Linked DNA regions of Mytilus edulis. Each later gene encodes a partner of the first gene's protein in a complex. Links are inferred from orthologs where the notes say so. Each region holds a gene or a part of one and is shown on either strand. Other genes may lie near its edges.

Region 1 (7,267 bases):
TCTGTTGCTTAAATGTTTTACTATGCAAGTCTCTGTTGGTTGAAGGTTTTACTATGCGTGTCCTTGTTGGTTCAGTGAAAGTTTTACTAATCATGTTTCTGTTGGTGTATGTTTTTAATACAATGCATGTCCTTTTTGTTTTTATACGCCCGTCAAAATTACGGGACGTATTCTGTTTGTTCGTCTGTCTGTCTGTCCGACGTCCACATGTCGCACTGTAACTTGAGATATGCTATGTAAGTATGTGAGATTTCAACTTTGTATTACAGGTTTTTTTATAAGTCAAAATGGACTGTTTTTATGTTATTTATATGTTTTTATATTCGATCAAAAGCTCCTTAGAGCTTGTGCTGCTTATTTGTACTTATGTCGAATCAAAATAAAGTTTATTAGAACCACTTTTCTCTAATTTTTGTGCTATTTTCACATTTCTGACCGGTGTGAGAAACATATTTTTCCTCACTGGTGAAAAATCTGTTCACGGCAAATGATTGGTTGAAATTTAATTATGACGTTAAATTTTCTTGTTTTCTTCTAAATTTGTTTATTGTGACGTCATGAAAAAGGCGAACATGCCTGATGACGTCACACCAAAAGTACACAACTTTCCTCAAATCATAAAAATCATTAGAGAAACAGATTCCACCACTGTAACTCGTGTATTATGATATTTCTCCACCCTCAACAGTTAAAGGAGTAGGTTCAGTAAGACCCCTTTTTGGCCCCAAAATATAGCAGTTTTACAAAATTATGAAATTGTTATCTTTTAGCTATTTAATGGAAAGTAGAATGCTTCTGCTACATAAATATAGGCTGTTTTTGACAATACAATGTACACATATCGGGTACTAGCATCATTTAGTCATGCTAAATTACTGAAATCTACACAATTTTAGCATTTTAGTTAAATTTTAGACGGTTTCCGTCTGACTGAAATGAAAGTGGCCGCATTCGTGTTCATTCATAATATTGAAATGTAAGTTGTATTTGATGATAATACATAACATATATAAAGGTTGAGGATGAACACGGATGCGGCCACTTTCATTTTTGACAAAAACCATCTAAAAAGTGACGTTTTTTGGCATATTTCTAAATTTTCCATATTTAAGCTTGAATCGGAGCGTTTTTAATGACTAAATCAGTTAAAAAACACTTTCACAAAAACTAAACAAATCAATTGAAATAGACACTTAAGTGTTTAAAAAATGTCCAAAATCTTTCGTCAGATGAACATGAAATTTGAGGCCAAAATCAGCCCTTACCGGACCTACTCCTTTTAATTATTAAGAAAGTTCGGCAAGCTTCTCGCTTTAAATATCAAAATTTAGATAGGAGAAATATATCGTTATACACTTTCCTCAAATCATAAAAATCATTAGAGAAACAGATTCCACCACTGTAACTCGTGTATTATGATATTTCTCCACCCTCAACAGTTAAAGGAGTAGGTTTTAAGCAATAACCATAAATCGTTTTTGAGATACGGCGCGACATGTGAAAAAAATCATTTGAAACAACTATGATTTTTTCACATGTCGCGCCGTATCTCAAAAACGATTTATGGTTATTGCTTAAAACTTTACACACTTGTTTGTTATCTTTATCTATTTAAAGATCTGTATAATTTTTTGGTGATAATTCAAAATTGTATTTAAGAGTTATTAAGGTTGTTTTTTTTTAAAGGGGGGTCACACACAAGACGAAGGACATATCATGCGCTCGTGGCGCACCTGTTTATTAAGGTTTTATTATGCATATTCCTGTTGGTTTTAGGTTTCAGTTTGCCTGTTTAAAGTTTTACTACGTGTGGTCCTGTTGATTTAATGTTTTACTTTGCATGTCACTGTTAATTGAAAGTTGAACTTCTATCATTTAGGTTTGTATAGTATTTCAAGCAACTGAAGTTATAATTTAACTTATAAAATAAAACTAAATTGTATTTTAAAAAGCTATAACTATTATTAAATTGTTTTGACAAATCAAAGCATATTTTTGTTCATTGTGTTGATTCACAAAATTACACTTTATAAATTCGTGCATTCGTTGTGCTAAACCGCAGGTTTTTAACTATAAACTGTGTGCATAAATTATCAATTCTGTTTAGAAAACACTATTAAAGTTTTAATAAAAGTTATTTAGTTGTAAAATGTATGACACTTCCGTGTCCTGATATTTATCAGATATGAACGCTGATATCCCCATATGTATCCGTGAATTACTTGAAAGGCACAAACATGGTTATATACCACTGCTTGATCTATTGTCAACGGCAGGAATTGTTCCTTTTTTTCTTGTTTTTTTTAATGACGTTAATGGTAAAACTATGTTTACTTTATTTGATAATCTGAAGAAAGACGGGATGCTTTCATAACCGGGAAGAAGATGATCGACATGCTTTATACGAAGGCACGCAAGAACATAAAAACCACTTTTGAAAGTATAAAAGGGGTAAGGACAATTTCCACTGTAAATTTGTTTTATGTACGAGAAAAGAAAATATTATTTATACATACATAGTAGCTAAAATGGCAAATTACTACCAAACATTTCGATTGGAGGTGCCATAACTGAAGATCCTCTTTAGTATGTCAGTATATATTTAATTTTTGATATCATATTGACAAGGTTTTGTAGAAATACATTTGTACAATTTATTAAATGAACAATCAAATATAATTAGAAAACAAAAATTAAAAAATAAGCAACAGAACCACAAAAAGGTTAAAGGTTAAGTACACACAGTTTTAATGACAGCAATAATTAGAATAATCCAAACTTTAAAATATTTGGTCTTGTGTATAACTATGTTTGTGTATGTCAAATGTTTTCTCTTTTTACAAAATGGACAGGTCATGCTTTTCTCTGACTGTTAATGACGTCTTTATACTAAATATATTGGATGTTGGACGTGTACTGATTGACATTTGAGTCTTAGATACATGATTTTCTTTATTATCTGTTATTGCCTTCGTAATTATCAAAGTAAATTTCATTGAAAGTTGTGATATGTTCATAACAATTATACAGCTTCATGTAAAATACAAATAATATACAAAACGGAATGCTAATGTAATGAAAACCTATAAAGGGTTCGTTCTTTATCTTTGAACCTCCAATGTCAATGCATGCCCATGAGTCGAGCTCCTCGCTCTATGTGCACCAACTCTTAGCGGGTACTATAGCGATTTCTGAAATATAAAAAAATGCTAACAAAACCAAAAAAGCGTCTTGTTAAAAGGAATTACGCACTGGGATTTAAAATCAGGTATTAATATAATGCAAAAAAAAAAGCAAAAGACCAGAAAAGACAGAAATTTCAGCCTGACGCAGCACTGCAATTGATAGATTGAAACGGTTTTCACATCAATAACATTTTTGTCCCCATCACCAAGATATTTTTTTTAAATCAAAAGCAGTCATAGCTCTGGTCTCATTTTGAAGGGGTATTTATGCTGCATGGTTCAGTCTGTCTCAAATCTAAAAGTCATAAGTTTACATTTTTGGTCTCGTGACCTCAGCAGTATATATATCGGAGGAAAAAAGTTTTTTGTTTGTTTTTTGTATTCAATAACGTGATTTTGGACACATAAATTTTCTTTTATAAGTCAATTCGAATATCTCCAGGGCAATTGTGCGTAATTTATGCGTTGAATAATTCAGTAAATCGCATGCTCTAGTGTTTTTCAATTTTTCTATTCCCCAAAAATCACAAGACAAAGGGCAATAACTTCAGTTAGACATGATAAATTATGATGTTTACCGAGGCTGTTCATGTGTTTCCCAATTCTGTTCGAAACATTTTAATTGCCTTGCAGCCTTTTTCACAAATAACTTAGAAATATGAAAATTGAAGTTCAATTTAATATAAATTCATTTTGTAACTCATAGTTATTTAACCTCACGAAATAGAAATAACATTTAATCAAACACAACCTGTATGATGGTTTTTATCAACCGAGATAGCCTGAAACTGCTTATTATATGCAGAAACCCTTGTATTCAATAATTTTCATAATCACACCCAAACCCTCAACCCAAAGAGCCTAAGAAATTACTTAATGTAAGAAATTTCTACACTTTGACACTGTATTGGTTATATATATATATTATAAATATGATAAGGAACAGTTTTGTTTACAAAAAGAATAACCAATGTTATGTGGTACAAATATTGCAAAAGTCCACAGGCACTTTAAAGCCTTTAAATTTAAAAAAAAAATAATTTTAAAATACGGAAATTTAAGTTCTTACCGGTTTTGTTGATAGTTATTATTTTCCCACCACTTCCGAATGGCAGCTTTGCTGAAGAAAAGGGCTGTTGCCGAATTTAGCCAAGTTATCCAGGTTATTGCTTTTTATTTTTCATTAACTTCTTACAACTGATATTGTCTATGTTACAATTATATCCGTTGTACTTAGCTAACAACTCGTCAGAGGTATATTTTTACAAGTTGTGTATCTGTAAAAATTACCGATGTAAACAATAATGTCAAAATCTAATATCAGATAACTTTTAAAGATAAATTCGAAGGCACTAGATAAAACATAGCACACAATATAAACAGATCAATTTGTGAAGACTGTAATTCATTGCTCTCCTTTACCCGCTATCTTTGATGAGCTACTACTTTAGATGACAGAAACTAATCCAACGCTGTACAGTACATACCTGTCAACCTCTGAAAATGAAAAGTCAGGTCATGACCTGCATTGAGAAAAAAAATCTCAGGTCATAAGGCGTACGACATTTTGCGGGCTCAATTGAAGAACAAAAATATGTTTACATATAATTTATATAGTCAATATGTATATGAAACAGTTAGAACATGTATACAAGTTTATTTCAGACTATTGTTATATTCCATAGTAGCAGACTTGGCATTCTTTAAAAGAACTGCACTTGGTTTCAGTTCAAAGCAATGCAAATGTGTATTCATTTTACAAGAAAGAAGAGCACACAGTGTATCCTTATTAAGATCAGCCCTAAACTCTGTAGCTATTTTCTTTACTAAAGAAAATGCCCTCTCACTGTCTGCATTGCTGTTTGGCAAAACCAGTAATGTTTTAGCAAGTTTTGACAAAACAAAAAATCTTGGCTTGTTAATAAAAATGTCATGCAACTTGGACATTTCTCCCCAAAATGTACCAATGTCAGTTTCAGGGGAAGTGCAAAGTGGAAGTTCATCTAATGGGGTCAACTGATAGTCACTGAACTCATCTTGTAGCTGTGTTGTCTCTTCATATCGTTACGTAGCTCAGGTAAACAGTCCTACATTTTGACTTTTGGTTACATTGAAAAAGACCGATAAAACCGAAGGTCGTATTACTTCTAAATACCGGAAACAATTCCGGTCAGAAATCCGGGTGAAACGGGTAATGTTAGAAATTCCCGGGACCCGCCGGGTAAAGAAAAACTCCCGGGTGAGAGGTGAAAATAACGGGTGTCACCCGCAAAAAACGGGTGAGTTGACAGGTATGACAGTAAACGTAGAAGTTGGCATATTCCCGCGTTAACATGCATTCCAAAACCCATTGTAGATGGGGGAGTGTTATGCCGAATAATGTCCAAGGGCTGTATCCTAGGTGTTAGATGATTGACCTTCATTTCACTGCCTAACGGCTTTGGTCCTGATAATGCTTCCTGTCATCTTTAGCACTACGTCCAAGACTCATCTACCAGTACTCTATCATCGGGGTTAGATGGCTGCCAAGCTGACCAAACTGGCCCTGAAAGCCGCCGTTGTGAAGAAAGAACATCAAAATAGTAAACATACCAAACCAAAGCATCTCATAAAACCAAGATGGCGACCTCCAAAATGGCGACCACCACCTGTTCCTGACCGATGGCACTAAATTATTCTAATGCTCACCAAATGCTTCGAGCACTGAGCCGACCGTGCGAGGGCTGTATAGCCAGTCAAGGTTGTTAAAAACTTCCATTTGTTGTCTGCTCCATGAATAAACACTGGATACAAATGTACAGATCTTGACTGAAAAGCTGTTCTGATGAGAGGCTAATTTGAAAAGATGATGAAAAGGAAAAAAACAAATTAACATACTATATATAGAATTAACCATATTTAAAAAAAAATAAGTAGATCTATAAACATGATAAACTCTTATATGTGTTTTTAAGAAGAATAAATAAACAGGTCATACATTTGTATATATATGTCACTTGGAAATGTCATTCGTGCAAAATCTCCCCTTCAGCTGTCATAGCTTAGAGGGAGATCTCCTTCTTTGAAGGTTTCAGAGGTTGGCAGGTATGATTATTAAATAATAATATATTATCGATTTTTTATAACTTTAAAATGATTTACAGAAATCAAATAAGTTCATAAAGGTCGTTTTAAATTTAATGTGTACATCGAACACGTCAGCGATTGTGATTTCTGTGCTCATCATATTGGATGTACACACTTAATTTAAAAAGTTTTTTATGAACTTACATTGTATCTGCTTTCTGTTAATCATTTATAAGTTATAAAATACATTGATAATATACTATTATTTAATAATCAATTTATAAAAGTCACTAATATGTGCTAGTATTAAAATTTCAAGTGTTATTCAGTCATTTGAGGTACCTGTAACCAGCAGAAAACAGCTCATGGCCACCGTTGTGTCGTCAACACAACCAGAAAATCCTGCATCTGCCCCCAGATGAGGGCTTCTGCTGGCCCCTAAACACTAATGTGTATAAATTCAGTAAAAATGGATGTCACATCACACTGAACTCTGAAATATATAAAAGAATCAAATTAAAAAAAAAATTACTAGACTATCAAAGGCAATTCATCAGTCAGGGGACTTACTTAAATGAGTGATTTTCTAAATCACTGATTCAAGTAACATTATATCCATAAAGGTTGGAAGTAATAGTTGCCTTTCTTTAATAATCACCTACATGTATTTAAGTAGTACAAAATAATCACTAGAAGAAGTGATTTAATTTTACTGTAGATTTAAATATATATATAGATTACTAATTTTCCAGGGACTAATTATGTTTCTAAACTTATCAGAACCAACATCTGTGTTGTCTAGGATGACCAGGTCATTTCAGGTGATGACCTTGTACTGAATCTAGGATAATGACATAAAAATCACTTGTTTAAGTATCATACCTCAATTTCCTTCTCAAAAGTCACTTCTTTAAGTATCATTATTTCTAATAACCCCCACTAATTTCAACACCCCCGAACAGTGAAATCTGAAAGATAAAACCTTGAACTTTACAGGAAAAATACTCCAACTGCTG
Region 2 (7,707 bases), on another chromosome or scaffold:
CTCCTACCCACATCTGTAAATGGTGAAGATAAAATAGCAATAAAATAATTTAATATTGATGCAAAATTTCAATAGTCTATCATGCATGTCATATGATCATAAGGACTTCTTTTTAAAATCAATATTTTTTTGTAAGGTTAAAAGTGTATTCGTCATGTTCACTATTACATTGTTTCCAATGGATACATATATTGAGTATTTTCTAGTAAAAATGGCACCTCTTTCACGTATGGCTCTAGTTTTGTGACATTAATTCCAAAGAAAAAGCTCCAAATATACCATCTATATCAGGAAATTTGATTTTGTGTCTAATTTTGTAGTCCTCTAAATATATGTTATTTGGTCTCTTGTCATGAAGAGTTGTCTCATTGGCAACTATATGCATCATGTGCATACCACATCTTCTTTTTAAAAATAATGTCACTTTTTTAATATTGGTAAAATTATATTTTGTAGATACATTTATCATGTTTATATACATGTATATAAATATCTACATTTTGTATAATCTCTTGCTAGATATTTAGGCTACCATTGACTATTTACAGCTTGTTTAGTATTCTTAAACTTACCCTGGCCTGCACCTGCAAGAAAATGAAATAATGAATTTATATTTACGTGTACAAAAAGTAGTTAAAGTTATATATATTGTCACATAAAACAGATGCCAAATTAAGTATCAAATCTGGCATTTAAGGGGTTTTAAATAAAGTATTCATATTCAATTACCATAATCGGATCTGTATAGTACATGTATACAGATGTTAATGCTGGGAGAGACTTCTGAGAAGGGGGTGCAAATTATATATTCATGATACATGTATATGCATACATTGATTTTAACGATTCAATGAGTACCAACTAATAATAAATGCAATAAACATGATAAACATAGATCATTCTTTGTTTTAGCACTATTTTATCAACATAAATATTACAATTTATTCATTTATTGTGTATAAAAGATTATTCGTAATTTATCCCTAACCCATACAAGGGGGTCTCATTGGTAGGGTATGATCTCCAATCCCGCTCAGGTCCGTAGCCAGGACTCGACAATAACGCTTGTCCGATTGTCCGGTACCAGGGAAAAAAAAGGTCGGACAAGTAAAAGCTATATCAAGCTTGTCCGATGGGACAAGTAAAATTATTCTGCAGAAAATAAATTTGATGAACAAAGTAATTATAAACAATAAAACAAGAAGAGAAGAGAAAAATAAAGTTTTAATTTGACATGTTTACTTGCAATCAAATATTTAAAACTGGTTCTTTGTCAGGTACTTTTTAACAGGTAAAAGACATACTATTCTCGTAAACCAGTCTTACTGATCCGAATCAGTTGCAGATAACGTAACTTTTTTTTTACAAGACAGTTGTCACCAGCTCCGAAACGATTCGGCTCCAAGTTTTATTGACAGTTTGGCACCCTACGAGACATATTTAATAGACATGATTAATAGACAGTTTGGTAACACAGACATATCGGGACCAAGACAAATCTGTACATCGTTTTTCTACCTTATTCTGTTGCTTTAAAATAAATTATACCGGTATTTTTTTTTTTAAATTCACTAAATCATATTTGATCCTATGTAGTAAAAAACAATACTTGCAATACGGTGACCTATAGTTAATTTCTTGCAGAGAGTTGTCTCATTGGCAATGATAACTCATCTTCATTTTTACAGTCGCAAATGCAGTTTTACTGGCGACGCGTAGCGGAGACAGTAAAACGATATTTGCGTCCGTCAAATCAAAATTGACGGTGGCAACTCTTCAACTACAGTACTGTTATTCCGATTCTAATGCATTACAAAAAGAAAAAATGCGATAAAACTTGAAAAAATGTCTAAATTTGTCAAATAAAAAAAAATACACGAAATTTCATGAATGATTTTGGCACAAAGACGTCATGGCTAAACCTGACGTCATTCAAATGAAAACTTACAAACTGGAGGTTATTATTTTACCCGTACGCTTCAAATTCGGATAAAATTACATTAAAACGGCGAATTCGAGGTAGCTGTTGTTTTATTTTCGATTATATAGTAGTAATCGAACATTTGTTGATTTATTAATTCAAAATGGCGGGCCCCTCCTTAGTTACGCCTGGTCAACTGTGGATTTGACGGCAACTTTTAGCCAATGAAAAAAATTGTTACATCCAAATTGCATTAGAATACAAAAAAGGTTATTCTTAAGATTTTTTTGGAACAAGTTACAATTTCATTCGGACAAGTAAGTTTTGGTATGTACTTGTCCTACTGGACAAGTTGAAAAAAAAGTTATTGTAGAGGCCTGGTAGCCAGGAATTTCCAAGGGGGGGGGGAGGGGGGGTATTTGGACTCACAAATCACAAACTCGACTTTAACAGTCACAATTCGAACAGAAAGTTGACTTTAACAGTGCTTATTTGTTTTCAAGTCGTCCGAACCCCCCGGCTACGTGTATGCCGCTTATTGTTTAATAAAAATTCTGTATCCGCTCGCGATCCTCATTACCATAATAGTGCATTTTATTTCCGTGTCCCGCTAGTCCCAATAATTATGTCGTCGGGGTCTGGCAAGGCTATTTTAATTTTTCTCTGGGACGTCGTAGGGAGGCGTCCCAGAAAAAAAATTAAAATAGCCTTGCCAGACGTCATAACTATTTGGACTGGTGTCCCGCCAGACATTGTTTCCCGTTTTCATGCTTAATTATTTCACGTGTCACGCTTTAAAAAATTCTGCCAATCCTGCATCACGCATAACCCCAATGGTAGGTACACAAACAATGTATTGATATAACTGCTGACTGGCATGATATAATTATTTTCATAACTTTGTTTGGACTCAGATCACTGGTCAAGTAACAGAGAAAGCTGTGACATTTGATTAATGCTTCTGTACATATTGTGGAATGACAACATAAATTACCTAGTGGTGTGACTCGAATTTCTGTCATTTTCAAATAGTTATCTTTATGTTATGAATTTGGGAGATAGTTCTGCTTTTTTGAGCTGAAGCATGATACGTCCGGAATACTTTAACCGTATTCGCTCTAAAATTAGTCAGAACCAAGTTATGTTCTAGAAAGATTGTACTTTTATAGAATCATAAAAGATACGTGAATAAATTTGTAATTTTAAACAATATAAAACAACAACGTTCTCATGTCTGAAAAATTATACGACGGAAATGTAAAACAAGAAATTAACACAATATGAAGCAAGCAAAACATAGAACAAAACTCAAACAAATTTAATGCTCTTTTTGTATGTGAATGTCATTTTGTTTTAAAAGGGTTGGTTGTTACAGGTTGCTATTTTAAATCTAATCCTGTAAATAGTTATACCATAAAATACTCTCAAAAGAAACAAACCTGCCAATTCTTATTTACTTTATCATCGCAACAACGTTTTAACTAACGTTTTTTTTACCGTGGCTAATCAAGATTCTCTTGCTTTGTTTACAGAGACAACAAAATATTATTTCCAACAAAATGGCATCGCATGACAGTTTTGATATCGAACGACTTTATAAGTTGTTCCATAGCTGTATAAAAGATGACGACACGATTGATATGGACGAATATGTGAATGCATACGAAGAATTATCAAAGTAAATTATTTAAATGGTCAAGGCTATATTTTTACAGAAACTTTCGACTCAATTTCAAGTCCAATAATTGACATGTAAATAGATTATATGTGGAATCCGGGTCCGTTCGCCCTGATGCATGTTCGCCCTAATACCTGCTGTGTCTGTTCGCCCTTATTTTTTTTTTTATTTTTTTTATATATATACATTTGTCTTTTTGCAGAATGTTTAATATCATGAATATGAGGCAGGCATTACCTTAGTCCAAATAATTATGACGTCTTGAAAGGCTATTATAATTTTCGCCTTACTTCGAGTCAAAGAAAAAAATTATAATATGGGGACGGAGTCCCCAATAACAGTAGAAAATTCAATAAAAAAAAAATACGGGAAAATTTCCCAAATTTTTCATTGTACTAATGAACTCAAAATCGTTCAATTTTTTTTATGTCATGTTTTGAAATCCCGGACATGCGCAGAAATGTACAATGTACTTTCTTTTTCCGGTCTCGTTTGTATGAAACTTTGAGTAAAATATATATTTATCAGTCTAGTATAAAATAGGAAGGAACGCGCAATACCAATTTCATTTTTAATAATTCCTTGATATGAAAAAACGTTACCTGATGATAGCGTTTCTTTGTTTACATTGCATATGACGTCATAATTTAAATAACGTCACAACTAAAATCCCTAACAACAGAACCAAAATCGGAAACGTTACGGTATTTCCGTTTCTTTTTTTTTTAACAAATATTTAAGTTACAAAAAATAATTCATACAGACTTCGTCCCCATTTACAGGTAATGCCTGCCTCATATTAGTCTTCTGATGTTGGATAAAAGCTCTACAGAGCTTATTTTGTATTGTTATATGTATAACCGACTTTAAATAAATCTTTTATGCTGTCATAATTATTTGGACTAGCATTACCTCTGAAAGGGTACGAAGTCTGTATGAATAGGCTATATAGCTATTTGCCAATTCCCGTAATTGACCCTGTTTTTAGAGATCCCTAATTTGGTTGTCTCCCTTATGACGGACATTATTTTTTATTTACAATGGAGAGCAGACAGAGAAAATTTACCTGTGCGTAATGTGAGTAATCTTTAAGGTTTTTAAATCTTTTAATTACATTTATTTGTTGTTCAGCTAAATACTTTTGACATCAGAAATTATTTTTCGTAATAAATTAGTTAAACCGCCGATACATCACTTTCAATTCATCATGCTTTGCATTGGCAAAAGGTAACGCTTGTCCCGTATGGAACCAGTCTATGTTTGACAAAGGGAAGTAATTTGTTTAAAAAGTGTGTTATAATAGAATCAAATCGGTAATTGGCAAATGGACTATTGAGCGTATGAATTATTTTTTTTTTTTAATTAAGACATATTTTACATGTTACTTTAAAATCTGTTAAAAAAGAAACAGAAATACCTAACGTTATGATTTTGGTTCTGTTGTTCATGTTGTTAGGGATTTTAGTTGTGATGTTATTTTAGTTATGATGTCATTTTCAATGTAAACAAAGAAACGCGATCATCACTCAGGTGATGTTTATTCATATCAAAGACAAAGATCAAATTATTACAAATGAAATTGGTATTGTGTTCCTTGACTTCCTGTATATGTTACTAAATTACTCAAAGTCGCATGACAATGAGGTGTGTAATATATTTGCTATGTAATAATACAATCCAGTTTCTATAACTAATTTATTAACAAGTACATGTTTGATGGTCAGACTACAGAATGACAACATGTGTAGAAGAACTTCAATTGATCTATTTAATTATGTTTATTTAAGAACCTGCAGACATGTGAGAGTTGCTGATCTGTCAATTATAATTACTGTGAGGTGAACATTAAAACAAGGTGTAAAAAGGAATAGGATTTCTACGCAAATGCTAGAAAATTGAAAAGTCTGATTTTTTTTTATCTATTTGGAGTTCATTAGCATGATTAGTATCTTCAATGAAATTTTCGTGAAATTTTCCCTATTTTTTTAAATGAATTTTTTTATTGATTTTTCTACCTTAATAGTATTTGTATAGAGTATATTTAAGTTTGTTGAAATATTAGCCGCTTATTTTTGTTGTTGCATGTGTTTTCATGATTTTCAAGAATTGGCATCATATAAATATCTCAATATAAGTTTATTAAACTTAAGCATGAAAACAGGAAATAAAGTCTGGTAGACATGGTAGAACACAGGGAAATTACATGCACTATTATGGAAATGCAAGGCCGTAACTACCCTTGAGGCAAGTGAGGCAATTGCCTCACTAAAATTTCGACAATGATTATTTTTTTTAATACATATATATATATATATAAATATAATAGTCATTTGTTGTTCTGTCTCAACCTTAATTTCTATAACTTGTCATCATTCCTTTTATTAAACTATTCTTCCTGTATATAATTCAGCATCTCAACGGGTGATGTTTCTCGATTACATTAACCTAGTAACGATAATCATCATGGATCTTTAGTTAAAAACAGGCTCTTGCAGAAAAAGGAAGGTAAAGAAGGAATAATTCTAGTAAACTAGTTTTTTGTGAACAGAGTCTGAATATTGCATATAACTTCATTAGAACAATCAAAACACGATAAGTAGACTGACAAATAAAGTACTGGTCTTCGGAAGGGGGCAGTCCTGTCTGCGTATTCATTTCTCCGTTTCACCAACTTTTGACAAATCTATTCATTTCACGAACTTTAAACTTTCTCTTTACAGATAAATGAAATATAAATAATATGAATCATGAATGCAAGGATTAGTTTTTATCCATGTTTCTTTAACCTTAAAAGTTGAAAGAATATCCCATATTCCAATTTGATATCAATGAGGAATCGAAGAACCTCTAACACAGGATTTTGTCTTTACTTATTCGGGACTACGGAATTTCATTTCTTTATATTCGGGGTTTCGGAATCGGACACCCCCAAACCCTAACCCCTAAATTTATAGATTCTGGAACTAAAATACCACGTATGATGGTGCTCACAGGAAAGCTTAATTCCCTTTTGCAAACAAAACTGTTACTACCGATGCTGCTACCGAATTGCTGATGGAGAAGGAATTGGAAGAAGACATTGATCATTGTGTTGATGATGATGTGCTACCTTTAGAAACACAGACTGCCCTGGAACAGCTGAAAACTTGGAAAAGAGCATGCATGAGTGGCGAGAGATTGTGCGGTCTTGTCATGCTCCATGTTCATCGCCATAAGGATATCAGCAGATCAAATTATGATTCTGAAACGATTTGATTGAACCGTCCATAGAAAAATTTTGAAAACTCTACTGAATCGATGTATGTTCTATGTTCTGGCAGCAGACTCAAATCAGTGATATTTGGATGATTATCGTACATATAAATTTAAAAAAGTTGTTAAAAATTTGGTGTTTGTAAAAGTATTAAAATATGAAAAATTTATATAAAAAGTGTCCAAATTCAAAACATTATCAAACTCTCTAAAAATGCCTAGAATGCAGAATTTTGCACCATTCATTTCATACTCTCAAAAAAAAAATTCGCCTAGCTTCGCTCGGCTCAATTATTTTGCCTCACTAAAATAAGATGCCTAGTTACGGCCTTGAAATGGGTCAAGTAGGATACAGGATTCTGGCAAAACAAAAAGCGGGATCATACCATTTTTCGAGTAGAAAAGTTGGTTTGTATGCACAATGGGGATAATGTTTTTCGGTCTGTGCTTCTATCTTACAGTCCTGTTTCAGGTTCTCTAAAACATTTGGTCAAGGTAGTTTTTGATGAAGTTGTAGTCCAATTAACTTGAAACTTAGTACACATGTTCCCTATGATACATACTATCATCTTTCTATTTGGAAATGATTTATAATGTTTTAGTCAAATCTATGGCCTAATGGAAGTAACTCCTGTTATAATTGAGGAATTTATGTGGTATGATTGCCAGTGAGACAATTATAGTCCAAATGAAACAGAAATGAACAACTATGAGTCACCATATGACCTTCAACAATGACCTTAACCTTTTCAATATAGTCAGCTATTAAGCATGTTAGTTTAGAGCCTAGACATTACAAAATTTTACACAATTCAAGTTCTAAAACCAAAAGTATCATGATCATTAATCATTATTA

The links. Proteins that work in one complex are often made in the same cells at the same time.
Region 2: the proteins of integrator complex subunit 4-like (region 1) and integrator complex subunit 11-like are in contact, whole or in part, in a cryo-EM structure (PDB 7SN8), measured with the Drosophila melanogaster proteins. The link is inferred for Mytilus edulis from reciprocal best matches to the Drosophila melanogaster genes IntS4 and IntS11. Residues at the interface, in NP_572488.1 of Drosophila melanogaster: Arg226, Ser227, Gly228, Gln233, Lys256, Phe259, Tyr260, Asp262, Ser263, Gln264, Lys299, Asp300, Asp301, Cys349, Leu351, Lys380, Lys381, Ile437, Glu441, Glu443, Phe444, Leu445, Glu446, Arg448, Asp471, Phe472, Asp475, Asn478, Glu480, Ile481; in NP_651721.1 of Drosophila melanogaster: Thr182, Pro183, Arg185, Gly188, Ala189, Trp191, Ile192, Asp193, Lys194, Arg196, Ile210, Arg211, Asp212, Ser213, Lys214, Arg215, Arg258, Asn287, Gln288, Lys289, Lys292, Thr293, Met299, Gln400, Asn404, Asn469, Ala470, Pro472, Pro473, Pro475.

The regions. Positions count from the first base shown.
Region 1 is NC_092346.1:94,729,791-94,737,057, reverse strand, and holds the start of integrator complex subunit 4-like, read left to right. Parts: upstream 1-4,225; 5' UTR 4,226-4,293; coding exon 4,294-4,347; intron 4,348-7,267. UniProt on the Drosophila melanogaster protein: Component of the integrator complex, a multiprotein complex that terminates RNA polymerase II (Pol II) transcription in the promoter-proximal region of genes.
Region 2 is NC_092356.1:73,124,386-73,132,092, forward strand, and holds the start of integrator complex subunit 11-like, read right to left. Parts: upstream 3,017-7,707; 5' UTR 2,944-3,016; coding exon 2,916-2,943; intron 585-2,915; coding exon 573-584; intron 14-572; coding exon 1-13. Other genes in the region: ceramide-1-phosphate transfer protein-like, read left to right, coding at 3,481-3,599. UniProt on the Drosophila melanogaster protein: RNA endonuclease component of the integrator complex, a multiprotein complex that terminates RNA polymerase II (Pol II) transcription in the promoter-proximal region of genes.